Linked DNA regions of Tribolium castaneum. The protein of the gene in region 3 interacts with the protein of the main gene of each other region in a pairwise test. Links are inferred from orthologs where the notes say so. Each region holds a gene or a part of one and is shown on either strand. Other genes may lie near its edges.

The links.
Region 1: the proteins of htt (region 3) and DCTN2-p50 interact in binary tests that used the Homo sapiens proteins (3 or more experiments, as listed by UniProt). The link is inferred for Tribolium castaneum from reciprocal best matches to the Homo sapiens genes HTT and DCTN2.
Region 2: the proteins of htt (region 3) and betaCOP interact in binary tests that used the Homo sapiens proteins (3 or more experiments, as listed by UniProt). The link is inferred for Tribolium castaneum from reciprocal best matches to the Homo sapiens genes HTT and COPB1.
Region 4: the proteins of htt (region 3) and Hip14 interact in binary tests that used the Homo sapiens proteins (3 or more experiments, as listed by UniProt). The link is inferred for Tribolium castaneum from reciprocal best matches to the Homo sapiens genes HTT and ZDHHC17.
Region 5: the proteins of htt (region 3) and zinc finger matrin-type protein 2 interact in binary tests that used the Homo sapiens proteins (3 or more experiments, as listed by UniProt). The link is inferred for Tribolium castaneum from reciprocal best matches to the Homo sapiens genes HTT and ZMAT2.
Region 6: the proteins of htt (region 3) and Ars2 interact in binary tests that used the Homo sapiens proteins (3 or more experiments, as listed by UniProt). The link is inferred for Tribolium castaneum from reciprocal best matches to the Homo sapiens genes HTT and SRRT.
Region 7: the proteins of htt (region 3) and wcy interact in binary tests that used the Homo sapiens proteins (3 or more experiments, as listed by UniProt). The link is inferred for Tribolium castaneum from reciprocal best matches to the Homo sapiens genes HTT and WAC.

What each region holds. Positions count from the first base shown.
Region 1 is NC_087395.1:3,607,076-3,610,575, forward strand, and holds part of DCTN2-p50 (dynactin subunit 2), read right to left. Parts: intron 2,158-3,500; coding exon 1,761-2,157; intron 1-1,760. UniProt on the Homo sapiens protein: Part of the dynactin complex that activates the molecular motor dynein for ultra-processive transport along microtubules. In the dynactin soulder domain, binds the ACTR1A filament and acts as a molecular ruler to determine the length.
Region 2 is NC_087397.1:6,603,324-6,605,779, reverse strand, and holds the end of betaCOP (coatomer subunit beta), read right to left. Parts: intron 2,233-2,456; coding exon 1,958-2,232; intron 1,907-1,957; coding exon 703-1,906; intron 658-702; coding exon 583-657; 3' UTR 501-582; downstream 1-500. UniProt on the Homo sapiens protein: The coatomer is a cytosolic protein complex that binds to dilysine motifs and reversibly associates with Golgi non-clathrin-coated vesicles, which further mediate biosynthetic protein transport from the ER, via the Golgi up to the trans Golgi network.
Region 3 is NC_087395.1:14,785,363-14,789,618, reverse strand, and holds the start of htt (huntingtin), read right to left. Parts: upstream 2,801-4,256; 5' UTR 2,649-2,800; coding exon 2,566-2,648; intron 2,520-2,565; coding exon 2,336-2,519; intron 2,288-2,335; coding exon 2,009-2,287; intron 1,960-2,008; coding exon 1,818-1,959; intron 1,766-1,817; coding exon 1,626-1,765; intron 1,580-1,625; coding exon 1,031-1,579; intron 983-1,030; coding exon 554-982; intron 509-553; coding exon 192-508; intron 1-191. Other genes in the region: hexosaminidase D, read left to right, coding at 3,227-3,725, 3,772-4,256.
Region 4 is NC_087402.1:12,430,481-12,434,508, reverse strand, and holds the start of Hip14 (palmitoyltransferase Hip14), read left to right. Parts: upstream 1-1,228; 5' UTR 1,229-1,423; coding exon 1,424-1,573; intron 1,574-1,624; coding exon 1,625-2,164; intron 2,165-2,214; coding exon 2,215-2,382; intron 2,383-4,028. Other genes in the region: uncharacterized protein LOC135267174, read right to left, coding at 1-667, 718-911, 964-964. UniProt on the Homo sapiens protein: Palmitoyltransferase that catalyzes the addition of palmitate onto various protein substrates and is involved in a variety of cellular processes.
Region 5 is NC_087395.1:20,717,014-20,719,737, reverse strand, and holds zinc finger matrin-type protein 2, read right to left. Parts: upstream 1,375-2,724; 5' UTR 1,258-1,374; coding exon 658-1,257; 3' UTR 609-657; coding exon of another isoform or gene 543-608; 3' UTR 501-542; downstream 1-500. Other genes in the region: uncharacterized protein LOC656218, read left to right, coding at 303-495, 543-608. UniProt on the Homo sapiens protein: Involved in pre-mRNA splicing as a component of the spliceosome.
Region 6 is NC_087394.1:28,909,018-28,913,170, forward strand, and holds the start of Ars2 (serrate RNA effector molecule homolog), read right to left. Parts: upstream 2,801-4,153; 5' UTR 2,649-2,800; intron 2,523-2,648; 5' UTR 2,520-2,522; coding exon 2,398-2,519; intron 2,351-2,397; coding exon 2,192-2,350; intron 1,842-2,191; coding exon 1,638-1,841; intron 829-1,637; coding exon 762-828; intron 710-761; coding exon 547-709; intron 1-546. Other genes in the region: E3 SUMO-protein ligase RanBP2, read left to right, coding at 3,120-3,194. UniProt on the Homo sapiens protein: Acts as a mediator between the cap-binding complex (CBC) and the primary microRNAs (miRNAs) processing machinery during cell proliferation.
Region 7 is NC_087394.1:31,185,275-31,189,317, reverse strand, and holds the start of wcy (WW domain-containing adapter protein with coiled-coil homolog), read right to left. Parts: upstream 2,801-4,043; 5' UTR 2,613-2,800; coding exon 2,572-2,612; intron 2,450-2,571; coding exon 2,416-2,449; intron 1,970-2,415; coding exon 1,750-1,969; intron 1,693-1,749; coding exon 1,535-1,692; intron 425-1,534; coding exon 223-424; intron 161-222; coding exon 1-160. Other genes in the region: uncharacterized protein LOC103312319, read left to right, coding at 3,445-3,524, 4,025-4,043.

The DNA.
Region 1 (3,500 bases), about 11 Mb from region 3:
TATAAATAGCCAAAATCTGGAGAAGAAGCATTAGAGAGTAGAAATAAGTTCGATACATAAAAAAAGAGTAAATAAACAGATAAAAAACTATAGAGAAGTACATCTAATTCGCTCAATAATGTTACAAAAAAAAATGATATTTTAAATAAGGTCATTTTTTTCGTAATTCAGCTTTGCATTAAGAGATAAAAAAAATACTATAGATATTGAAATGGAGTTGGAAAAGCACATTTATAGCCTATTTTTTCGCAATATTTTGTCAGTAAATGATTATTTACGAAAAATCCAGTGCCAGAAAGTAAATAAGCATTTTTAGCAGAATTACAAAAAATATTTTGTATTAATATGTTGTACAGGATCATTCTATTAAAAGTATATTTTCACTGTAAACCAGCGTTTGCTCTTAAAAGCATGTAATTTTTTTAAAAAAAAATTCTACAATTCCTTATAATGAGAATTAAGTAATTAATATTGAGTCTCTGAAAAAATAAATTTTTATAAGTGATATTTCTAATGACATTTTGAAATAATGTTGTTTTGTTGCTATGTAAAAAAATTGTCACTAAACCGTTGTGTAGCTGACATTTAATTGTAATCAAATTCTAATATGCGATTAATTTCACCTTTTCCAAGGAAATGGCAACCTATTCAACTTGTATTAATTCTTAGTTGTCGATTAAATTTTAGTTGCCATTTGCACAGCAAAACTCAAATTAATGGTAAATTTAAAATTTTATTACTTCGAAAAGTGAGCTACACAATGAATAAACTTATTTTTATACATTTTTTTTTGCTACAGAAATAGTTATTTTTGTTTGGAAAATACTTGAGCACTTTGTGCATCAAGTGTTTTACATAATTTTTGCTCAAAGCAAATATTTTTCAGTGATATAATAATGTTTTTAAAGTAACTGTTGCAAATTCGAAACATTCGGTAGTATTTTAAACTTTAAAATAAAATATTTAAACTTGAAATAAAGACATTTCATGTTTCTAAATTATCTAAATTATTTCTAAATTACAAATGTATCTTTCAATGTATTTGTCTTATTCTAACAAATTTTCTAGGTTTTTTTAGTCTAAATTCAGGTAAGTGTAATTTTTTATTGAATATTTCGAAAAGGTTGTAAAAAGTTTAAAATCGGACTACTTACTGCATCTACTGAAAACAGTCTTTAGGTGAAATGAAATTAAAATCCAAAAGATCATTCTTTTAGTTTTTAATTTTATTTCTAATTTTTCCACACCTGAAATTTTTCGAAAATTTAATTCAAAATTAACTTCTTCCTCGATTTTATGCTGAAATGAAAAAAAAACGAAAAAAATACAGAAATAACTTAAAAAGCTATGCGAAATAAAAAAACTGAAGAAAAAATTAAGATGAGGACAAAACAGGTACTAAATAACAAGAATGAACAAATTATGACAAAACACAAGAGTAAAACAAGAAAGAAGTATGTAAGTGATAAGGATTGTTAAAAAATTTGATAAAAAATACAAAATGTTGTGAACAATTATAAAAATAATAGACTGAAGCAAAAGCTGAAAGAGAAAACGCTTTAATGCCAATACCAATCTAAAACACCCGGTATTAAAAAAGTATTTTTATTTTTTCTATTCGCAAACAAATTGTTCAAGTGGAAAATGATGCTTGCCAAATTATGACTTTGTTATTTTTTGATATTTGTCCCAAAAAAAAAAAATATTCACTGAGAGCGCAAGTAACTCCAGTTCAAACACAAAAATAAACATGTACTCACCATTTTATCTTTTTCTTCATCTTGTGCAATTTCCTTCTTTTTCTCAGCTATAGCATCCAATTTTTGCTGCAAACAAGACAAGCGTCCCTCAATATGATCCAATTGTGCCGAATCAAGTAAACTAGCTGTGGCGCTTAAATGCTGTGCTGTCTCCAATAAAGTTCCTTTATTAGTTGCGGATGCCAATCGAGTCAATTTATCGTTAGAAGATCCCATAATTGACTCCAAACGATGCAAACGTCCCTCAAGTTCAGCCACTCGAGTCGTTTGAGCTAGACGCGCTTGTTCCGGTCGATAGTTTAACTGGTAAACAATACCGGAACCGTCACTTTCGGCTTGAGATTCGGTTTTTTCACGAGCACTGGCTTTGAACTGCTCCAGTTGTGACAACAATTTTCTGAAAAAAAAAACTATTATTTTGAAAGTAAGTTGGCAATATTAAGAGTCAAAATTCAGACGAAATTTCACCAGAAAATTTGTTCAAAAATATAGTATCTTGACAAATGAAAGAATTAACACATTTTGAAATTATTTTCTTAAAAAACACATATAATTACCCGTACATAAAAGCTTCTGTTATTGCAATCGTCATGTAGTGATATCAGTGGCAATGTAATGTGCAAATAATAAATTAGGTACAAGATTACGTTATTTTTTTAAATTTTTCGAATATTCTGCACGTTCTTCACTAGAAATAAAGTTACATACAGGCTGTTCCGTCTAAACCCCACATCAGAAGTAATAGATATAGTAATAGATATTTCTAATAGATATGTATCTGAAAGTTGGTACTCAGCCATAATCCGTTAAGTTCTGTTAAATGAGAATATTTTTAACATGGCGACACTTCCGGTTTTAGCGGAAGTCGCTATCAACTTTCTTATCTTTAATAGAAAACTATGTTGTTATCAGCTTTCACTATACCTAAGTTTAACCGTTTTTGAGATATTTTGGATTTTTTTTAAATTTTTGGATTTGCACCTATCACTTGAAAAATCGGTAACTTTTTTAATTTTAAAAACTTCGAAATCATATTTGGAGAATTAAAAGAGAAAGCCCATATATGTTCTCTAGTGTGTTCAAAATTGGAAAAAAGTTAATAAAACCAAAAATTTTAAGGTTAAGTTTGGACAACTTCAAGTACCCATAAATTATTTTTTTCAAATAAGATGTCCTAATTTTTATTTTACTAGATAGAGAAGAATTGTTTTCTGCATCTATCTGTATTAGCATTCCTTAAACCTATCCTTGATAATTTTCAAGTTATTTTGGTTTTTTGACATTGTTAGGAAATTCCATACTAACCATAGCTATTTTTGCATAGTTCGCCTAAGAAACATTTCTGATTAAACCAACAACAAATTCAGTTCAAAATTGTGCTATCATTCCTCTGCAAACAAAATAAATTCATTGAATGTTGGTTTGAAAAACTTAATTTCTAAGTTTTTCTGTCGTTTCCATTACACAGTATGGCTAATGAATTTCCCAATTCCAACAAAAAGTTATTGTAACTTAAAAACTATTAAACATAAGTATAGAGAATATTAATAGATAAATGCAGAATTAAATTCTCTACCATTTAATGAAATAAAACTTGTGGCATTTCATTTGAAAAAATCGAGTTATGGGTGTTTGAAGTTCTGAAAACTTAATTTGAAACATTTGGGGGTTTATTATTTTTTAGAAATTTGAAAACACCAAAGGAAAGATCTAGGCTTCCTCTTTCTTTTAAATGAGCTA
Region 2 (2,456 bases), on a different chromosome or scaffold from region 3:
CGTCCATGATGTACTTTTTATCTTATTTTATTTTCGTTTCCAATAATAAACTGTATTTATAATCAAATAAATATCGTTACATCAAAACTACGGAGGTCTAAAGGTTAGGATACGAAACCACGTTCAAATAAAACGGTCCCGTCCTTGATAGTTTCCTTAGTGCCGCCAGAGAGCGCAGTCGTTCATTATCGTCTGTTTTCTGAGCAATGAATTTTATAAATGATAAAGCATTAAACATAACGCAAAATTTATCGTTATTTATATTTAAAAAAAAAAACTTCTACCAATTTGCACTTTGCCAATATTTTGTAGCGTTTTGAAAAATACGGCACGAAGCGAAAATGTTCTTTTTTTTCTCACGTTTCTTATGAAAATTTCAGTCATTAGTTTTTCTCACAGTGACTTTATTTTAGAATAATACAGTTTTTCTCAGAATTGGTTGAATTTAAATTAATTTAAAGAGTTGGCGCTGAGACGGTATAAGTACTCTATTTTTTGGATTCAGAAAAAGCGAGTTTTCCGTAATCAAAGCCATTTTTTCAAATAAACTTTATTAATATTAATACGACCATAAAATACAAATTATGCAGCGATAACTTTACTCTGTTGCCCCTTCTGTGTCATATTGATCTTGTCACCCAAACTCAGAGCCATCCCCTGCAACAACAAACTCAGCTGTGATTCACACTCAGTGCTACCAACCTGACTCTTGGCCCTGATCCTGATATGTCCAGTAACGGGTGCATCAGGTTTGTTGAACGGTTTTTCAATACTCAAATTAGCGAGAGCGTCCTCTCCAAAGATTGATTTTGCGTACATATTGGCGGCCATGAAACCGCACTGCCCTGACAGGGCCTTCTCCGGAGTCAAACACTTCATGTTGGTGCTTTTGATCAAGTGCTTCAAATATTCCGCAAGGTCGGTTAAGGTCGTATTAACCGAAACCTTATTCTCCCACTCGAACTCGGCCCACATTTGCCTGAACTCCGAGTCGCTACAAGTGGCCGGGACTATGTAATCCATAATATCAATATGGATGTCGTCCAGGACCACCACGTTTCGGTCGGACGCTGCTCCCGTGACGTCATAAACTATGTTCCCGAAAATAATCCCGTTTTCGGTCGAGGCCACTTTCACGTTGGCCTTAATGTTGCAGAAGTCTTTGGGCGCCAGAACCACCGGCTGCGGTTTTTCCACGAGTTTCAAATCGCCGAGAGTTGCCAACTCAAGGGTGCAGTTTTGTAACGTATCGTTGGTCTGGTTGACTATCAAAACGTCCAAAACAATATCATACTGGTTGACATGGACGTAGGCTTCGGCATACACCGGGTCTGAAAAGCCGGTCAATTGAGTCACTTTGTTCAGCTTGTTAACCCCAGTGCTTGTGTCACTGCCGCCGACTCGGCCCCCAACCAAGGCTTGTGACAAGGACGTTTCGAAGACGTTTTCACCCAATTCGCCCGACTTGTCGGCTTGTAATTGCATAAAATTGATCGGATCGTCGGCTTGTATGACATTACCAGCCTTTTCTTTCGCTTTCTGATTGAGTGCTTCTTCAATTTCTTTGGCGACTAACATGTCGTTAAGTGCCTGTCGGCACAAGTCGGTAAAAACCTTGATAATGCTCGGCTGCCGGTCCGAAAGCACCCGCAAGCAGAATAAAACGTGGTCCTTATCATCATTGGTCATGGCCTTAGTTGGCAAACCCGACTTCCCCAAGTGAATAATCCCGGCCATGATCATCATAACTTCGGCATCAAACCGATTCCTTTCAACCGCATTTTTAACCGAACTGCCGTACCTTAGAGCCAGTTTGGTCAAAGTTGAGGCGATCGCAGCCCCGATAAAGAAATCGCCGTCGATTAGATACTGGCGAAGTGGGGGCCGCTTCTCTTTTGTGCTTTTCCTAAAGCTTGATTTACAAACCGGGCTTTTCTCTCGACAAATGACTACTTACTGAACCGTGTTGAAGGCTGATTGGGTGGCGTAAGTTCCGTCAGAAGTGACGAGGGTGCTGGAAGCTTGTGTTGGGTTCGGTTGGGTGACTTCTTCCGAATCTCCGGCCACTAGACGTTGCTCCGCTTCCAGAAGGGGGCCCTCGCCTAGGGTTTGGTTGATGGCTTTAAGTACGGACTGGATGTCGGCCACAGTTGTTGCGTATTCGCCTAAAATCCAAAGGGCGGCTCGGTGGATTTTCACCGATTTTATGTTGGGGAAAGCTTCGAGGAGTTTCTGGAAAATATTTTTTTAAGACAAACACTCGGGCATCATTGAATCTTTTTTTCACATATATAAATTTTTGTAATAATGTTAATAAATGATTAAAATTTAAAATTATTGGTTTCTTATTACGTGATTGTGGATTGTTTTACCAATAGTTTTTGCTCCCATAAACCAAGAAACGCAAAATAGTTCAATTTTAAAGAGACGTTGCGTTAACATTCTAAGGGCAACGA
Region 3 (4,256 bases):
TATTTGTCTGTTTTTGTTTGTTTGTTATGTGTTAATTGTTATACAAATACAACCATTTATTCAAATTCATTGCTCCGAAAACTTAGACGGTAATGGAACAACTGGGCTCTCTGGCGAAAGAAAGAACGGGGACGTTTTATTTGTACGTCGTTTCATATCCTAGCCTTTAGACATCCGTACTAAATACTTACGAAACAATGGCACTAGCGGCGCCACTCCTAACCCGAGCGTCATCATTTCGCAAAAAATTGAACAAAACATCGTCAATTATCCGATTTTGGAAATCACTAGAACCAGTGATATTGCAAATAGTGACGTAGGGAAGCTTCGAAACAAGTTCACACAAAGCGACTTTCACAAGCCAGTACGGATTGGTTGCTAAAAGTGGCAGACAATTCAAAATCGGTAAAACGTGAATGTTGTTAACCGATTCTGCGATTTTTTCCAAACAAACATCCAAACTTATGATTGTTTGTCGCGCACAACCGGACGATTCGTCCTCAAGGCCCTTAAACCAAAATTTAGCAAAGAACAATTACATAAATTGCTATACTTTTATTATAAATTTCACGAGAGAATCCAGCTGAAGTCGGGCAAAATTCCCATCGCAACAATTCGACTCGATCCATTTGTCGTAACTCGAGTGAGTTTCGCTCAACACAGCTGTGATAAAATTGGATAAAAGTGTCCTAAAAACGCCCCGCAGTTGCGGGTCGGTGTGGTTTTCGTACAATATCAAGTCGGCGATTGGTAGGTGATTTTTCGATTTGCATTTTTTACCCAAACAGAGGAGCAATATTTTTGGGTAGATTCGCACAATTGAGGCAAGACAGGTCAAAGCTAGGGATTTTACGGAAACTCGGACTGATTTATCAGGAATACAAACGCCCTTCTGGCCTGACAAAAGAAACGATTTGGTGATCAGTCTCGCACAATAAACTAGCGAAATATCGGTGTCTAGAAAACTACCAATAGCAACGTCCTACAATAAAAAATTATCAACTTGTTTGATGTTGGAAAAGAGTTTTACTGGAAAATGTGTTTCACAGTTCTTGTCATCCTCAATATACGAGTAGCTTTTTTCAGAGGAATCGTCACTTATCGTGAGTCGTTCCAGATTATCACCAACACTGTGACTTTTCCCTACGTATTCAGAAATCTTATAATCGAAACTATCAAGCTGTGTCAAAGACACATCAAGTGAGGAGTTTTTACTCTCACTTGACAACGACTTTTCTAGTTCGTTAGTTTTGGCACAAGGTACGTTCATTACTGAAAGTTTCGACTCATCTATCCATTTTTCTATATCCGACCTTATAGTGTCGGTAAGTTCGGACTCCAGAAACAAATCGTCATTTGCTGCACTTGTCGCAACACTTAACTGACTTGGGGAACGCAGTGCTGACATTGAATAAGAAGTTGGTAAACTAATCCTACTTTTATCTACGCCACTTTCGCTCAATAAAATTTGCCTCAATTCAAGGGAACAATTCTGGAGTAAAACATTCAAAGTTTCTAAAGCTGCATTCACAACGTTGTGATCCTTATTAGAAAAATAGTGGAGACACAACTCGTAAATCTGTAAAAATTAGCTACAAGGCGCCAAACAACAAAAAAACAGTTACTTGTAACAATTTATCCACGGATAAGGAAGCATTATCTCCGTTTTGATTATCGTTCAAGTGTTGTAATAAATTCTTCAAACACGCCAAAACTCCCAATATTAGAAAACTACTTTGATTATCACTGACTGGAATTAACAAATCTACAAATCCACAAACAACAATCAAATGAACACCTGAAACGGAACGACTCACCTAACAAATAATTAATTACGTATGCCATAAAAATAGACGGTTTTCTACAGTTCAGACACACATTTAACACACAAGTGGTCGCAGACCGCCTGATAACAGGCGAAGAGTGTGAGATGTTTTTCAAGAAACCTTTCAATAAATCCTACAACGCGAAACTAATAATTCTAAGCCACAACGCGCCCCTGCTTTACTTTTATCTCAACCTCTGACGTAAAGCTCCCCAAAACCCGCATTATCGGCGCCAAACTATTGGCCAAAGTCTCATGAATCTGCTCCTCAGGCCGCTGCGAGACCTTAATCAAGGTGGGGAAAAGGTTAACCACGTACGGCTTGCCCTTATGGGGCCGTATCAAGTGTGCCAGCTGCGAAAACCGCTTCAAGGCGGCCCGTAGTGATCGAGCTGAACCGTTTTGCTTGATCCCTTTATGTAGTTCAATTTGTACTTTACCAATGTTCCCATCGTTCATGGCCTGGAACCGCTCAACTCAAAAACACGCCACAAACTCGCAGCTCATTACTCTGATCACTTTATTGAGACAGTCCCCCGCTGTCATCCGCACGTCGGACTCCTGGTCGTCGCATAACTGCAAAAGCACCTCGATCGTTATGCTGAGGTAGGTGGGGAAACTGGGGGCGATTTTGATCGTTGAATTGGAAATTGCCTCCGTGACGATGTGACAGTGCTGGATCTTGTCCTTTTTTCTACAATTTGGATGGTTAAGTGGCGTTAATTGGCCAATTGGCTTACTTTGAGGAGTCAAATGTTTGGTTAGGTGCCGAGAGGGTCTTGAGGACTTCCAGCGATTTTAGCAGTTTTTCCTGGGTGGCCATTTTTAGCTAAAGGGGGTGATTTAAGACGGTTTTAATCGGCTGTTAGCTGCTGTCCACCAGTTTTAAACGCATTGTTTATTTTAACATTTTTTAGACACATCACACGAAAAACATACGGGAAAGTCAAGTCGACTGTCAAAACAAATGTCAAATTTTATTTTGCCAAGAATTGTCCAAATTTTAATAATTGTGGCATTCAGTTTGCAACAATATCTTTAAAACCGGCCGATTTTGTGGTAAAGTCACAGCGTTTGTGTGTTTGTGTTTATTTAGAAGAAATTTAAATGATCCGCTGCTTTTTTTCTTTGGGGTGGTACGCCAAATGTCAAAAAATTTCGTCGAACTGTCAATAGTTTTTGTGGAAATAAATAATTAAAATCTTTCGGAAAAATAAACAATGTGTTTCCGCGAATAGCCCCAGTCGACCATGTGATAAGCCGTAATTAACCCATAGATATTACAATGTAGGAAAAACACTTTTCCATTTCCCATGAAGAATGCTAGCATAAATCTTTCCTCCGACTTCTGATGGGACAAGCTGGTGTTATTTGGAGAGTTTGAATGGAAATGTGAAAAAAATGAATAGTTATGTGCAACATTTGGGCCTAACAGCTTGGCGGAAAAAATCGGCACTGTTGATAGCCATAGGATTGCTTTCGATAATAATTTTTGGCTTGCAATTTTCCCGAGTGAGTGACAAAGCGCTCCTAAAGGAAGATAACGGGGGCCCGCACATGATAGTCGCTGAGTCCTTAATACAAAGTAATGTTAAATTCGTGGAAAGTAACCAAAGACCCAGTGCAGCTAAAGTTGAGACGGTTGAGCCAAATTTAGGTTCTTTTACAGACTTAGAACAACCAAGTCGCGACGATATTGCACGGAGACGTCCGTCCATTGAGGCGTTAGAAACAGAACAGCAACTAGGAATACCCTACGTCAACCTGAACTCGAATAATCCATACATTCCGCCAAAACGTATAGTCCACTTGGATTTGAAAGGGGCCCCACCTCTAGTCAGTTTTTTGAAGAAGTTTTTCCCCCTGATACGCAACATGGGGGCCACGGGCCTCTTGCTAGGTTGTAGCCCCACTAACGAAACTTGCCCCTAAGTCAATTGTTTTAGAATATGAAGACATGTTCCCTTATTCCGGCATCTTGAAAAACATTTCGGCCAAAAACGCCTACACTCCCGCCCAAATCGCCGAAATCCTGGACTTGGCCGAGAAATCCCAACTGGAAGTCATCCCCCTGATCCAAACTTTCGGCCACATGGAGTTCGCTCTGAAGCACATTGAGTTGGCGAAACTCCGCGAAGTCCCGGGGAGCCCCCAGGCCCTGTGCCCCAGCAGGAACAGCTCGCTCGACTTCATCCGCGAAATGGTGGAGCAAGTGGTGTCCCTCCACCCAAAAATCAAGTACTTACACATCGGCTGTGACGAAGTGTTCCAAATGGGCGAATGCGAAATCTGCCGCTTGGAACTCCAAGAAACTCTCTTCCTGAAACACGTCCAGAACGTGTCGAGAATAATCCACGAGAGGCACCCGCACCTGCGGCTCATCATTTGGGACGACATGCTGCGCCACCTGTCCCAGCAGAGCATGCTGGAC
Region 4 (4,028 bases), on a different chromosome or scaffold from region 3:
ATTCTCTGAGCGCTGTCTTCTCGTGGGTCTTACCCCACTGCACAGCAGCAACCCTGTCAAGCGAATAGCCTTCCGCCAAATTTTTAAATAAAGAGGGTGGGAATCTTCGTCTACTGCAAGCAGATAGTACCATGCCAAACCTGCTGGCCGTTAAACGATGTTTCCTTGCTACATGCCAATTTTCGTTAACATGTTGGCCCCGAGTGCACGCCTCAACCAGTTTAATGCGTGCCTCATCTATTCTGCACTTCTCCAAAAGAAACTTTTGTTTGTCTATGGCCTGCACGTATTCTAAGCTTTGTAGAATTTCTTCGATATCTGCAATAATTTTTCTGGCTTCTTCACTTGCTTCTGGTCTTAGGAGCCAAGTGAAGCCCACCACATTCGTGACGCCTATTTCGGCACGGAACTGAATAATTTCGTCCTCAGTAGAGGACCTAGACAGTGCCGTATAGTTTGATAATTTCGGCTTGTAAACATCAGCTAACTTAATGACTTCTGTTTGTGGTGTTGTTTTTGATGGGGCACTCCACTGACACTCAATGTCAGTAGCACTTACATTATAATGAGCATAATATAATGCTGCAGCCATATGATGGCAAGCCACGTTGCCCCTTGGGCAGGTACAATGTGCCGTCTTAACCCCTTCTTCTAGGTCATATGAAATCTAAAACACACTTTGTAGAAGAAATGTCTAACAGTTAAATAAATACAAACCTCCACAGTATAATTTAGCTTTTTCATGCTCGGTAGAACTTCTGCAGAAATTCTCATCGGTTGTACTGTGCCATCAAACCTAAATTTGGTGACGTGACCGCTGGTAAAAGCATTTTCTCCCCGAACTAAAAAGCGATTACCGTCCCCAAAAAATTTCGCAATAAAGTGAAACTTAACAATGTGCTTTTCTGCCACTAAAATGCATAAATATAATAGTTTCTCAAAGTATAATTAAAGCTTACTCACTTTCTCACCGACAACGTGGTTCCCTGTATTCTTTTATAAAGTTCGTATTTTCACAAAAAGTCACTTCTAAATTAAATTAAAGTCTCTAGTGGCACAAATTACACCCGCTGCAGCTATTTGACACGTTATTAACGCACAAACACAACCAAAAAACCGAAAAACGTATTACACCACATGTAAAAGACTGGTTGTTTAGCTTTGAGCAACTGACCTACCGTAATAAGAGTGGGGAGGTGACGTCACGACTGATAGCGCGTAATATTGTACTCAAATATTGCTAAAATGTGTAAATGATCATTCTAATTAACGGAGAGCTATTCGTCTCGTCACGAATTATCGATTTCCGCCAGTCCGAAACCTTAAGAGTTCCTATATTGAAACCTAACCTCCATTTGCATTAATGTTTGTGTCATTCTCCTGTCAAACTTAATGATCAAAAATTTAAAAAGATCTATTAAAAATGTACCAAAACGCTTGCGGGGCAGCTGCTGCGAGTGCCGGCGGTTGTGTTGGCACCGAACGTGATTGCCACAGTTTAATATCCAAAGAACCACCAGTCCCAGCAATCGAGCACGACTACAGCGGTTTCGACATCGTCAAAGCCACTCAAGTAAGTAGCCCCTTTGTATAAAACCTCACTTAACGGCCGAATAACTCCTAGTATGGTGCCTTTGGCCGCGTCAAAGAACTAGTCGAAGCCGGCTATAACGTCAACCAGCGAGACAGCGAAACAGTGACTTTGCTCCACTGGGCGGCTATCAACAACCGCAAAGACATTATTCGTTATTTTATCGAGAAGGGAGCTGAAGTGGACGCTGTGGGGGGCGAGTTAAATGCAACCCCCCTTCACTGGGCCACCCGCCAAGGCCACCTCGATGCCGTGGTGATTTTAATGAACGCTGGCACAGATCCGACGCTCAGAGACGCTGAGGGTTGTTCTTGCATACATTTAGCAGCGCAGTTTGGACACACGGCCCTTGTGGCGTATTTTATCGCAAGGGGGATTAGTCCCGATTTGGTGGATAGGGCCGGCATGACGCCTTTGATGTGGTCGTGTTGGAAAGTTTGTAGTTTGGATCCGACTAGATTGTTGTTGACGTTAGGGGCATCCCCGAATTTGACAGATCAGCAAGGGAATACAGCACTACATTGGGCGATTTTGGCTAGGAATACGTCGGCTATTTCAACGTTGATTGTTCAGGTGAGATGGGTTTGAGTATGCATTTGGGTTATGTTGAAAGGTTGCTTTAGGGACAAGCAAGTCTAAATGTACCTAATCATAGGGGAGATACACCACTGTCGATGTTACAAACACAGTTAGGGGCTATTTGGATAGGTTCCAAAGTTGCGGAACGGATTAAAGAAGCGATAAGTAGTGGGCATACAAGAAATATTTTTACGAAAATTACTAAAGATAAGGTAAGTAGTTTTTATTTATTTTCATCAAGTTGGTGTTTGCTCTCCTAGCTTTAAAATGTCCTTGTATGGTACGAATTCCTAAAGCACAGCCTTTTTGATGGATCCTTTTTACCGTCCTGGCGTCAAACATTTTTCGTTTTTTTTATTCGTTCAAATGTTTAGAAGTCACCCGGTATAATTCTCCACGTTTTGGAAATAAAACAGTAAATAAGCAAACATTAATAACAAAAAACAACGTAAATAAAATATTATTTAACGTAATATTGGGGCTTCCCAAAGACCATTGACCGCAAAAATGAAATAAATACAAACTGATCCAGAAATATTGAGTCTGTGGGCAACAGATTTGTGCTCGTAATTTGCAAAATTGGAACCAAATTCGATTTTTCTTGACAATTATTTGACGTACAACCCCACAAGAATGTTAAATTGTTGTTAACTGGAAGCGTACTTCATTGGTATCCTTAAAAATTTAAGTTCAGTGTTGCCAACAGACTCAGTATTTCTGGATCAGTCCATTCTTTCATGAACATTCTTTAAATTGTCTTATACAGGGTGATTTTTTAGGGCTTACATTAGAAACTTTTTAAGTTCTAATGTACCTATAGGTTTAAAAATTCTGAGTTTAAATAAATTATTTTCAAAATGGCAGAGCTTCCGAAATTACTAGAAATTGGCGCTATTTTAAAAATTTTGAAAAGTAACCACACATTTTTAGTGCATTTTTGAATTCATCTTCCTGAACTGCGTAAAATTTACTCAAGTTGTTGGTACTTATCTGTCACAGTTTTTGACATAATTATGTAAATTTTTATGTTGAAATTATCATTTCAATAGTTTATTTAAAATATCACAACCCTTTGGGATAAGTGGATAATTTTTTTTTATTGAATATTATTTTCAGAATTATCAACTATCAAAATTCAAGACTAGTACCGGGTGACTTTTAAAGATTGTATTTTTTTGTCGTCAGGCTGGTAACAAATTTGAAATCTTAATTTGGCATTTTTAACTATCAAATTTAAATGTCAACATTTCAAACTCAATTGTCATAGACTTCCGCCCGACGATCGCCGGCATGGCAGTCAGGTGAAACGGCTCCATATAACTAGCTAGCAGGGAGGCCAGTTATTCAGTGTTGCCAATAGATTATTTTGTTTCAATCTTCAAAAGTTTTCCGGTAGAATTTTATCACAATCGTTATCAAAAAACGGCTCTAACTCAGTTTTTTCAAATGAAACGACTTTACTTTCTTAACGGCATCGAAAGAACATCGATATTTGTAATGATATCAATACGTCCTATACCTAGCCGGTCAGTGTTTAATAAGAACTGTGTATTCATGACTAAAATTTTCATTGTTGTTTTAAATTGTTCAAATTGTCCGTTTCTGTCACAACGAAAGTAGTTCGATACTCTTGTTTTTGTACCCATAGGCGGGTACAAATTTCTATATGTTATTTGTTCCAAATTTTAAGTAAATTTGCGAAACTTTTATTGAAAAATTACAAATAGAAAAAATGCTTTATTTGTTAAGCTCTGTTACCTGTTAAAATTAACATACGTATTTCTGATACACCCAGTATTCTTCTCCAAATTTTAAGTGTCGTAATTTTTATTGAAAAATTACAAATAAAAATAATATA
Region 5 (2,724 bases), about 5.9 Mb from region 3:
CAAAAAATAAAGATATTTTCACACCACACGCCACTGCGTTTTAACGCGATTACATCGAAAAGTTCGTTACGAACTTTGAAAAAATCGCCAAATTAGCCAAAAATATTGTTTTTACTTTTTTCAAGCCTTCAACAAGTTTTGGAGCTAAAAAGTTGAAAATATGCAATCAAGTTTGGTGCAACGGCAACTTAATAAAATATAATTAACATTTGAATTTAATAGTACTTACATGTTACCTTTGAGTGTTACGAAACTTATTTAACATCATGGGCTTCTTTGATCAAATATTTAATTGTTTTCAGGGCTTACAAAGACATAGCTGACTGTTATTACATCAAAACTGCGAAAGTGTGTGGAAACAGCGCTGCAGCAACAACTAAAGAACTTCTACAGTCGATAATTGACAGTATTCTCACAATAAGCTGTGACAATGTGAAGGAGACGCCCAAAGTCAAGGACCCAATGCCTGAGGAATATATGAAAAAAGAAAATAAGGCAACTTGTTCCTTCACATTTATTTCATTTACAATTATTTTTTACAGGCTGACACAATGATTCTTCCAACTGTACTTCACTTACTAGTTAGCATAATATTGATTTTTATTTAAACTTCAACAAATCTAAATTATTGTAATAAAGGTATTGAAAGACATTTTGCTACTTTTTTTTAGACGATCCAAAACCTGCAAATCCCATAATGCTAGCAAGCTCACTTGCTTGTTCAGATGTTTCTTCCAACATTTCCTCAGCTTTTCGCTTCTCTTTCCTTTTCTCCCTCCTGTATTCGCGTAGCTTTTCCTCTTCTTCGGCAATTTCCTGCATGCGAGCTGCCATATCGTAATCTTTTTTCTTCTCCTCCATTTTCCGCTTGTTTTGGTCAAACCTTCGTTTAACTGCGTCCAGACTGCTGCGTTCGATCCGCATCGACATTCCCAAGTTTCGTTGATGCTTTTTGCCATTGATGTGATCCAAAAAGTTGATTGAATCTTTAACAACACAGTCGCAGACGTTGCAGTAGTAGCCCCCCGATTGTGATGTTGGTGTGTTTTTGTTTATTACAATGCTTTTGCCAAGCTTTGAATCCAGGTCTACTTTATACTCTCGGGTTTTTAGCATTTCACGTTTCACCGGGGGGCCTTTCTTTTTCTTGGTTTCTTCTTCGAGGCGCTCGATTTCTTCCCTCTTGCGCTCCTCGGCTAACCTCTCGTATTCGTCCCTGTCCCATTTTCGGCGGTGGTCGTCTGGTCGCATAGTCATTTCTGATGATTTTTCTTTAGCAGGATCACAATCAATTAATAAAAACTCAAGTACAATAACAGTGTTGACAAACTGCAGTACACATTGACAGCTGTCAAATTTTCAAGGTTAGGTTATGTTGCTAACTTCATAAGAATAAAGGTTCATTTTCTAATAAATTGCGAATTTGCGCCATTCAGGATGTTTATATATATCATTAGATTATTACAATTGAATTCATTAAACTCATAGAATACTTAATAGATTTTTTAATTTTTTGGTTATTCGACTCTGCTATTACATCTAACGAAGTTAGCTGGGTTACCTGTTTAAAAATTTAAGATGGGAAAAGATCAAAAAAATCCCGTAATCAAGACAATTAGTTATTTATTTCAATTTTTTTATTAATTTTTAAAATCTAATTCACAGAATCTTTCGTTTGCAATTTTTCAGTCTGTGGCTGTTCAAACTACCACTACGTTATGAGTTAGTTATAAGTTATAAATACCAAAGAAAAAGTGGATAACTCAAAAAATTTAAATTTTTAACAAATTATTATTTTGGGTAGGCAACACAATATTCAAATGGCAGCCTACGCAACTAATTATACAGAGTGTTCCAAGTTTTATGGTCGAAGCAAAAATTAATATTCTAGTCGAGTACAAATAAATTAAATTAATTTAAATTACAAAAAATCAAATTGAATTTAATTCAAAATTAAACTAATTCAAATTAAGTAGCATTAAATACATTGACAAATGTCGAGTTAACCGCGATTAAAATTTAATTGCAATTAAAATGTTTTGTAAACCGGCGCTCTTAGTCTAGACAATTAATTACGCTACCATTTGATATTTTGAATGTGGTCAAGTATTAATTGCTGTGAAACATTATAAACCAATTTTTTAAAATAAAGTTCAAGGTGTATTTTCTATTATATGATAAAATTCTTTCAATATTTAAAACCGTAACTGCTAACATAGAATTATACGATTGTTGCCAACTTTTGAGTAATATTATTATTATTACATTATCAGAAAATTCTGATGTGGGCTCTATTCCACAAACGACTTTTACACTTTGCGCTTGCACGTTCCCGAACACCTTTATGTTCCACCAACAACAGTATTTTGCACACTTAGCAAAAAATATACTTAGCAAAAATACTTCTTTTTACAAAAATATGCCAAAACAAATGCAAAGATTGGTGGAAGACATTAACTTTAAAATTTGCAATTTATGCAAAATGCAAAGTTGCAAAAAATTTTAGTGGAACAAGGTGATATTTAGTGATTAAGGTGATATTAAAAAAAATATCAATTTTAAAAAGCCGATTATGGCGAAACTATAAAGATTGTAATCAAAATCTATTTGATACAATATTACATGCAGCGTTGAGCAAAAGTATTAAATCAAGCGTTTTGTGCGTAAACTATGTACCTTACAAAAAATACTAATTAGTACATCATTAACTACTTTAAAAATGTA
Region 6 (4,153 bases), on a different chromosome or scaffold from region 3:
TAATTATTAATTTCTTCAGAGTACAGTAAACGCAGAAAAATACCAAAAAAATTACAAAATAGTTTATTATCATAAGAGGTTTATTCCAACAATGGGATAGATATGTCACTGTGAATAAAATTAAAAAATGGTTCAGTAAATATTAATGTATATTATGATTTCAAACTTCAAAAAGTCAATTCAGACAGTTTAAGATTTCGTTCTAAAATCAAGTTGAAAAATAAAATAGTGATATGAAACCTGTAAAAGTCAGCAACAAAAACAATGTTTGCCCGAACATTCAGTTGTTAAAGCTCATACAGTAAAATAATATTTCTCACATTTTCTCGTGTATATTTTGTTTGATTTCGTTCAGATCTTGAAACTTTTTGTAGATATAATTTATGAGGGTTTAAGTAATAATTAAAATGTTTTTCAGATAAAATTGTTTGAAATTGGTTTGAGAACTTAATTGTTACTGGAAAAGTTTACTATTTGTGTCAGGTAGTAATAAAATATGATTTAAAAAATTATATCGAACTATTAAAATGAATTTTTTTGACTTACCGGCATACTCCTGCTCCAAAACGGCCAAGTCTTCCTCAGTGCCACCTTCGAGTTTAATAACGACAGTATCTAACAGTTTAAGTAAGTCATTCGTTTTTGAACAATCAACTGAAACCGCAAGTTTTCCGTTGTTCATCAAGTCCAAGAAAACCTCGACTCTTTTCTGAAGAAAAATTAAAGTAAGCGAAAATGAGATGCAAAAATGCCAATTCTACCTTCAATGCTGCCATTTGTTCTTCTTTTCGTTTTACTGAATCTTCAGGATGGTACTTCAAACGGAACCTTCAGAAAGACAAGAGGGAAAATAAGAAAACAACACAAAAACGAAGACAGACAAATTAAAAAACCATTCACGCGATCAATTCATTCAATGCGTTATGAATAAAGTAATTATCGGTAAAATGTGCTATAATTGTCAAGTGGTGGGTGAAAAATTGTTGACAATTATAACAGCGAAAAACAAGAAATGAAGATGTAATGAAATGAGAGCAATGTAATCGCATGCATTCCGAGACGAACATAATAAAAGTGTTAATGCTGGTAACGTTAATTATTATCTTCGTCTGATTTAAACACTCACACGTAACATACATGTACATATAATAAATTGATAATGTTTCTTCGTCGTGAAATCTCACCTGTTAATATAAACCCTAACAAAGTACGCGAAAGCATATGCATTGCGCGCATAGCTTTATCAACGGTTTAAAGAAATTCCACATCTCATATCTATATTCAATTCAATAATACTTTTAACGTAGTGTATTCACATGTTTTCACACACAAAACACATAATTATATTTTACGAAGATGTCAGGAAGTCTCGAATCAGTGCTGTAGAGAAAAAGGCTTTTTAAAGTAACATGTTGGGGAAAAATAGTTTAAAATTATATTAACCTTAGCATTTACAATTAAACCTATCAATTACGTCTGAAAGAAAATCTCTAGTGAAGGTGGACGTAACAGCCCATTGTTACTTGACACAACAAAGAGAAAAACAAAGTGCTACATACACCTTCGATTTGAAGCCCTGGCAATATTTTCCCTCAATTTACTTTTTTGCAATTCGGTAATAAGCTAGTAATACACACCATTCGTCGTCTTTATGGGCAACAAAAAATTCGTTAAGTTGCTGTCGCTGGAACTCCAATTTGTAGTCATTGTATTTTTCGATAGCTTCACTATCGGAAATGTTATCGTCCTGGGTGGCCAGAAACGCCTTAAAGGACATCATTGGCGGCTGCTGACCCTCAGACTGAGACGATGGCGGAGGTTCTCTGAAGAAATTACCAGCTCTTTGAAAATAGAAGATCACGCGTTAGTAACTGTTATTTTAAATTAAAACCGAAACAAAACGAAATCTAAAATAACAATTAAAACATGCGACTAATTACGATAAACATTCAGATACAGTTTGAGGAAACAATGAACGGTATTTTCTATAAAAATGCAAACCATGCAAGGCGATAAAATAAAACACACAATGGGGCAAAAGTCATTAGCAATTCCCTATTCTAGATTTCTTAACTGATATTATGTAAACAGCTAAAGCAGTTTTTAATTACGAGCATCATAATTTTTTTAATAAACCTTGAACGCTGGTGCACCATTTTTTCCATGCATTTTAGCAAAAACCAGCAACTACCTGTGCGAGCTTTGGTGATAGGGCGAGTAATGGTTGTAGTAGCTATCAGCATAGTAATCGTGGCGCAGCCTCTTGGGGGCTGGGTCCAGACTCGGCGAGTATCCCCTGTCTCTCACCCCCGGGCGGTACTCCCGAGGCCTAGGTCGTGACCAAGAGTCACTATAATTTCAACACTAGGACCGAATAAGCCTCGTATTGACTCTTACCGTTCGGCCCAGTCGTCCCTAGGTCTGGCAACCCGTTCGGCCCCCCTGTAAGTGGCTTCGGCGCGTTCACCTCTGAACTTATCGCGGCGTTTGCGGTCGTATTCATCGTCACTATCAGCCATTTCCTGCAATTAAGTCGGGAAAAGTGAGCACTAGCACTGAGCACCATGAGGGTGTAAGTAGTCAAAATGAGGGGGTGCTAACTGCGGGTGGTGGGTTACTGGTCTAGGTGGGTTCGATAGAAGACTCACTTTCTGTTCTAAAAATAATACTTTTGGCGATTTTCCGGCGAAAATTCGGATTTCTCTTGAGGAAGTTGATACAAAATTATGGCCGACACGTCAAAGACGCCGTGGGGGTTTTGCAGCCACCAACCTATGGTGGTATGACTGGTGACGCCGCATTATCGCAACATTTAAACGCAAAAAACTGCTCATTGTGGGATTATTTATTTTTGTTTCAATTACTACAGTCATGTAACTGAGTTGATAAGCTGTAAGAACAGCTACAACAGCCCGTAATTTGCATTTTTAATTTTTTTATTTGGATACCGGTCCCTCCAAAAAAGCAAAATCCCTAGCTTTGATTACTGACGTCAGTTGTAAGATGGTGGACGTCCGTTCGTGCGTTGTGAAATCTCATGTTGTAACGGTTTTATAAACGTTTTCTAAAATTTGTGAAATTGCTCGTTTAAATGTACGTTTGAGTGGACGCTTTTCAAAATGTTTCCCACAAGGAAAGCCGATGTCGATAAACACGTTGAAGAATGCTTGAAGAAGATAAATAACGAGACAGAGGTAAGGTTTTGAAATCGCTGTCATTCCGTTACGCCGGTCGAGAATTTCTCATTTTTTCGCGTTTTGAAAACGCGTTTGCTTATCAGAAAGGGCCCAAAAAACCATCACCCTTATCGATTCCACCTGTCCTAATTTTAAAAATTGCGTATCATTTATTATTGGAAGAATGTCTCACGCATCAATGTCACATGCAGGGAACCTTTGGCGGGAAATTATTTTTAGATTATAAAAATTCTTAAATTACGCTTCGTGTTAGGTCCAATTTGCCAAGATTTTTGGCAGTGTTGGCGAATCGTTGGCCTTTTTTGTTATCCAGCTGAGCCGGCAAGGTCATGCCTAATCAATAAATTGGCTAAACCCTTCTATCATTTGAAATACTCATTAACACAGTTATTAATTATTATATTTTGTAATTATTATTAATTTTGTTACACCTCTTACACCGTGGCGGCTTGAGGGTTCAAGAGTCAGTGAACAGCTAACAGCTAGTACACAATTTTTTTTTGTAGTTAATGATAGCTCCAAGTGCTCCAACATTTCATTTTTAACTTTAAATTTGTATGTGTAATTGTGTATGTATGTAAAAACTCGCCGTTACTTATTACAGAATTTGTCTCTGTATTCTTTAACTAAGTGTAATGTCTGGATTTTTTTTAAACAGCTTTGAGCTACAATCCATAATTTTTGCATTTGGACATGTTATTTCACAAGCTTTATGAATACCTAACTCAAAATCAATAACAATTTTTCTAGAATTAAGAGATAAATTATATATGAACATCTTTTAACAAAGTTGCATATTATTTTTTAGTTTTATTTAGTAACAAATCAAATACTAATGGTACGTAGTGCCCATTCCTAAAGCTATGAACGGTGAACATTTGACAAAAAAATCAGTACAAAATTCGAAGGTAACACCATGAAAAGTGTTTATACTGAACAAATAAATTTCTAAAACA
Region 7 (4,043 bases), on a different chromosome or scaffold from region 3:
TCTGGATGCTTTCTCGATCTGCCATCTTTGACGGGAACGTCGCTGTCGTCTCGGCTGCTACTACTGCTCCAGTGCCGACTTCCCGTCGCGCTATCTCTCGTTCCTTCCTTCGTACTGCTACTGCTGTTCGGTGCTCGCGAGTTGGAATGTTTCTCATGCCCTGTTTACAATTTGTGCGATATTAATTTTGATGCAAACTAAACTCCGGTGCTAACTACTTACGCGTGCCGGAGCGGCTGTAACAACGATCCGAGTCTCGTTCTCTGTCCCGTTCTCGACTCCTAAATCGGTCTCGTTCCATCCATTCCCTTGGTTTCTCCCATTGCGATACTTCGGTTTTGCAATTGTAATAATATTTTTTACCCGACGAACTTACATGCTCCGACCAATCACCTACTCTAGCAACCCTTTCCCGATCATCCCTCTGAAAGAAAACACATCCCCATAAAAAAATTATGTGCAAAACAGAACCACCAACTACTGGTATTATGTCTGTTACAAGTCCCAAAAAAACTTTATTTTCAACTGCCACATTGACAGGTAGGTAACAATGGTAACAAAAGCCTCAATTATCACCTATTAGCGGTTTCAAAATTTTGAAAAAAAATGCGAAGGCGTTTTTATAGTTTTGAAACCGCTAATAAATAAAAAAAAAATAATTATATGGACAGTCCAGATTTGAAGATATTCATTCAACTTCAAAGACTGAATTTTTGGGTGTCTAATACATTTCAGTATGCAGATAATCCATTTAGTTATGCAAACAAATCATATCTTACAATTTTATAAAAAAAATCATCAAAATGTAAGATTTAAAAATACTAATATTAAAAAAAATAATTCGGAGTTTCAGCACAGTTTTTAAGTTATTACACGTAGTGGAATATACAATGAAAAATGTATCTCTTTGAAGTATTTGTACGGCATTGGCTAGGAGTGGTACATTAATAAAAAAAAATGGTTTAATGAATTACATTTACAATGGAAATTATTTTTAAGGATAATAATAAAATCGAATTCATTTTAATTGACATAAAGATAGTGTGTACAGTCCTTTAAAGCTAAATTTCTAAATTTCCATGACCACAAAATATTTTTTATGTTTAATAAAGTTTCGAGTTTCGAAAAAAGGGGGGCAGTTATTTTTAAAAATACTTTCAGTATAAATTCAAACATACTCTTCTAAAAAAAAGAAAGATAAAGGTCGACGAAGCTATAATAGAAAAAATAAGGAAAAAAACAAGTTATTTGATCAAAGACAAGAACAAACACTAAATAGGCCAAACCTTAACGTTTATGTAGGTATTTGAACAAGAAAATAAACAGTTTTACAGGTCTTTGTCTAGTTGAACTTTAACAAATGTATTTTTTGTGCGAGTGGACTAAGAATTTAAATACATGACAATTTTATGACTTACTTAAAGTCCATTTCTCAGCTACTACTTAAATTATTAGTTGTGTTGAACTGATTGATTTTTTTGTGGTCATTTAATCACAACGTGTGCAAATAGCTGTGGCTTCGTCCCCTGCTTACCTTATCCACAGAATTATTGTGTACTGGTTTCCTGTCCCTCGAAGACAGGTTCTGGGACATTTTTATTGGATGTAAAATGCTCTTCTCGTCGTTTCTGTCATTGTTGGTCCTGTGCTCAGATTCTCTGCTGCGCTTATCCTTTGGCGATCGGGCACAATCTAAAATGACCAACAGAAATAAACAATTTAACAATTCTGTCAGTAACAAAAGGGTACCTGAATACTTGTCTCTTGACATTTTATAGTCTCTATTTTCTCTCTCCTTTTCACGTATTTTCTGTAGGTAGGAGCTCTTTGATTGATAAGATCGATCACGGTCTCTGGGAGATTGAGAATCTGGGCTGTCCGACCGATAATTACCATTTGGAGAATCCCGAATTCTCTCGTACCTTTCACTAGTGGATCCATAACTCTTCGATGAACTATACTTCGAGTTCTGGCAAGAGTTGGAAAGAAAACACAATTTTAGACGATTTTCCCGCTTTGTAAGCTCGCAACTACACAATTCAAGCGAAAAACGCAAATATAAATAAACTGCGGCAAGTAGGTTAGGTTGTATCTGCAGAAGGTAGCCATGTTTACTATTGTTTTGACGAACATTTTTCCGCCGAATTTTCTTTCTAGCCGCTTTACTGGCCCCAAAACTTGCGTAAAAGCCATCAAAATCTCCAAAATGATGCCCGAACTAACCCAAAAAAAGCCATTTCAACAATTTTGTCTTGAAACTAATTGGGCATAGCCAACTATGGTCATTGTTAGGAACGGTTTAATTTTGCTTGTGATAAGGCAAAGTATTAATAAATTGTTTTGACATTGATTTCGTATTATTATAAACAAACAAAAATCGGTTCAGTTTCGTTAAATTGGAAGGTTTATGTTTACCTGATAGGGATGGGCTTGGTGCTTCTCGAAGTACCTAGACATGGAAACAGAACGCATTAGTAGTGAAACAGGTCCTTGAAGGCATTAAAGCAACCTGGGAACCCCAAAGTTCCTTTAATGCCTCTGAGGTTGTGTCAATAAGACACTGGTGCCTACCCATCGCTCATCCGTTGAGGTTTCCTTGCATGCATTACCATCAATGCAAGTCTCTATAAAATGTTTGTGGCTTTCACAGCAAGCCGATTTGGATGAAAAGGTCATAAAAACAATAAAAACGTTTGAAACCGATCAAGAACTGACTTTCCTACCAGACGCCATGTCACATAAGGGAACAATTTGCAGCTGAAGGTAAATGCTCCTAATTTCTTCCGTTGTCTCATTGGTTGACGTAAGAAAACGTCCCGTCTACCAACATTGCAAACGCTTACACACTAGCGCTTTGTATATTTTTTCAAATTCTTTCGCACGTTTCTCACAACTATTGCAAATAAATGCACGACAATGAACACCCAGCACTTTCTTTACGTAACCGTGTTGTTAAAAAATATTTTCTGCCCTATTCAAAAACACAAACTTTAGGCAATTTTTAGAGATGTTGGGCGCCATGTTGGCAGCGTTGAAATCCCTGATCATCACCGATATCAAAAGAAAAAAATTACAATAATGGTGTAAAATAATACAATTTGTTTAAAGTAAACATCAGGTTTTTGTATCCTTTTTGCAATTTTGTTGTTAATTTTGGAATTTCGTTCGGGACGTATTCAGAAAAACCCTTTTGCTTCACAATGGAAATGGAGTTTGGCCTCAAATAGTGCGAGCATGTTGTGAAAACATTTCTCTACTTCCAAGACTCAGTAATTCTGGGTTATCGCAGTAATTTAATCGTATTTCTCGTAATATGACTGCTAATGTTGCACCAATTACTCGTAACAACAGTGCTTCTCGTCAGTATCTTCTGAAGGTGTTACATACTTAAAATCTTAAATTTTGATTATAAACAACTTTTTTTTAGATTAACTAGTAACAGCGATGTTGGCAAGTCTTCTGGGCGGTCAGTATGATTCATATCAAGCAGATTCTTCCCACAGACTGGTTAATTCAGTCAGAAGGTATTTAACCTAATTAAATCCACAGTCTTTTGCACTGAAGAAAGGAACACAAACTGAAGATTTTGTGAAACTTTCAACTGTTTTTCTTTTGTTTTTCAATATTCTTTTTAATAAGTAACAATTTCATAGTCATTTTTTTAAATTTTTTAATGCATGTGTAATATTGTTGAGAAGTCATACCAAGAAGAAAGAAGTCTCCAAGAAGATTAGTTAAACACGTAGTAGTTTTTTATTGCTTAGTAGTTATTAAAATATAGTATTTTTGTTTTTAAAACTTAAAAAGTAGTATAATGCATCTCCTCTGGGACAAGAAGCTGCAATTTCCACCGTCTTCCAAGAAGAAAGAAGTCTAACTTCAGTTTAAGTAAAATGTAGAAACTAAGTAACATGTGACTGCCTTTTCTAGTCATTTACAAGTGTAAATTATTTGTTAATAAGTGCAATTCAATTTTCGTATACATGTTACATCCTTGCTGCCATTTTAAAACCAAGTTTTGTAGTTACATAAACGCAAAATTG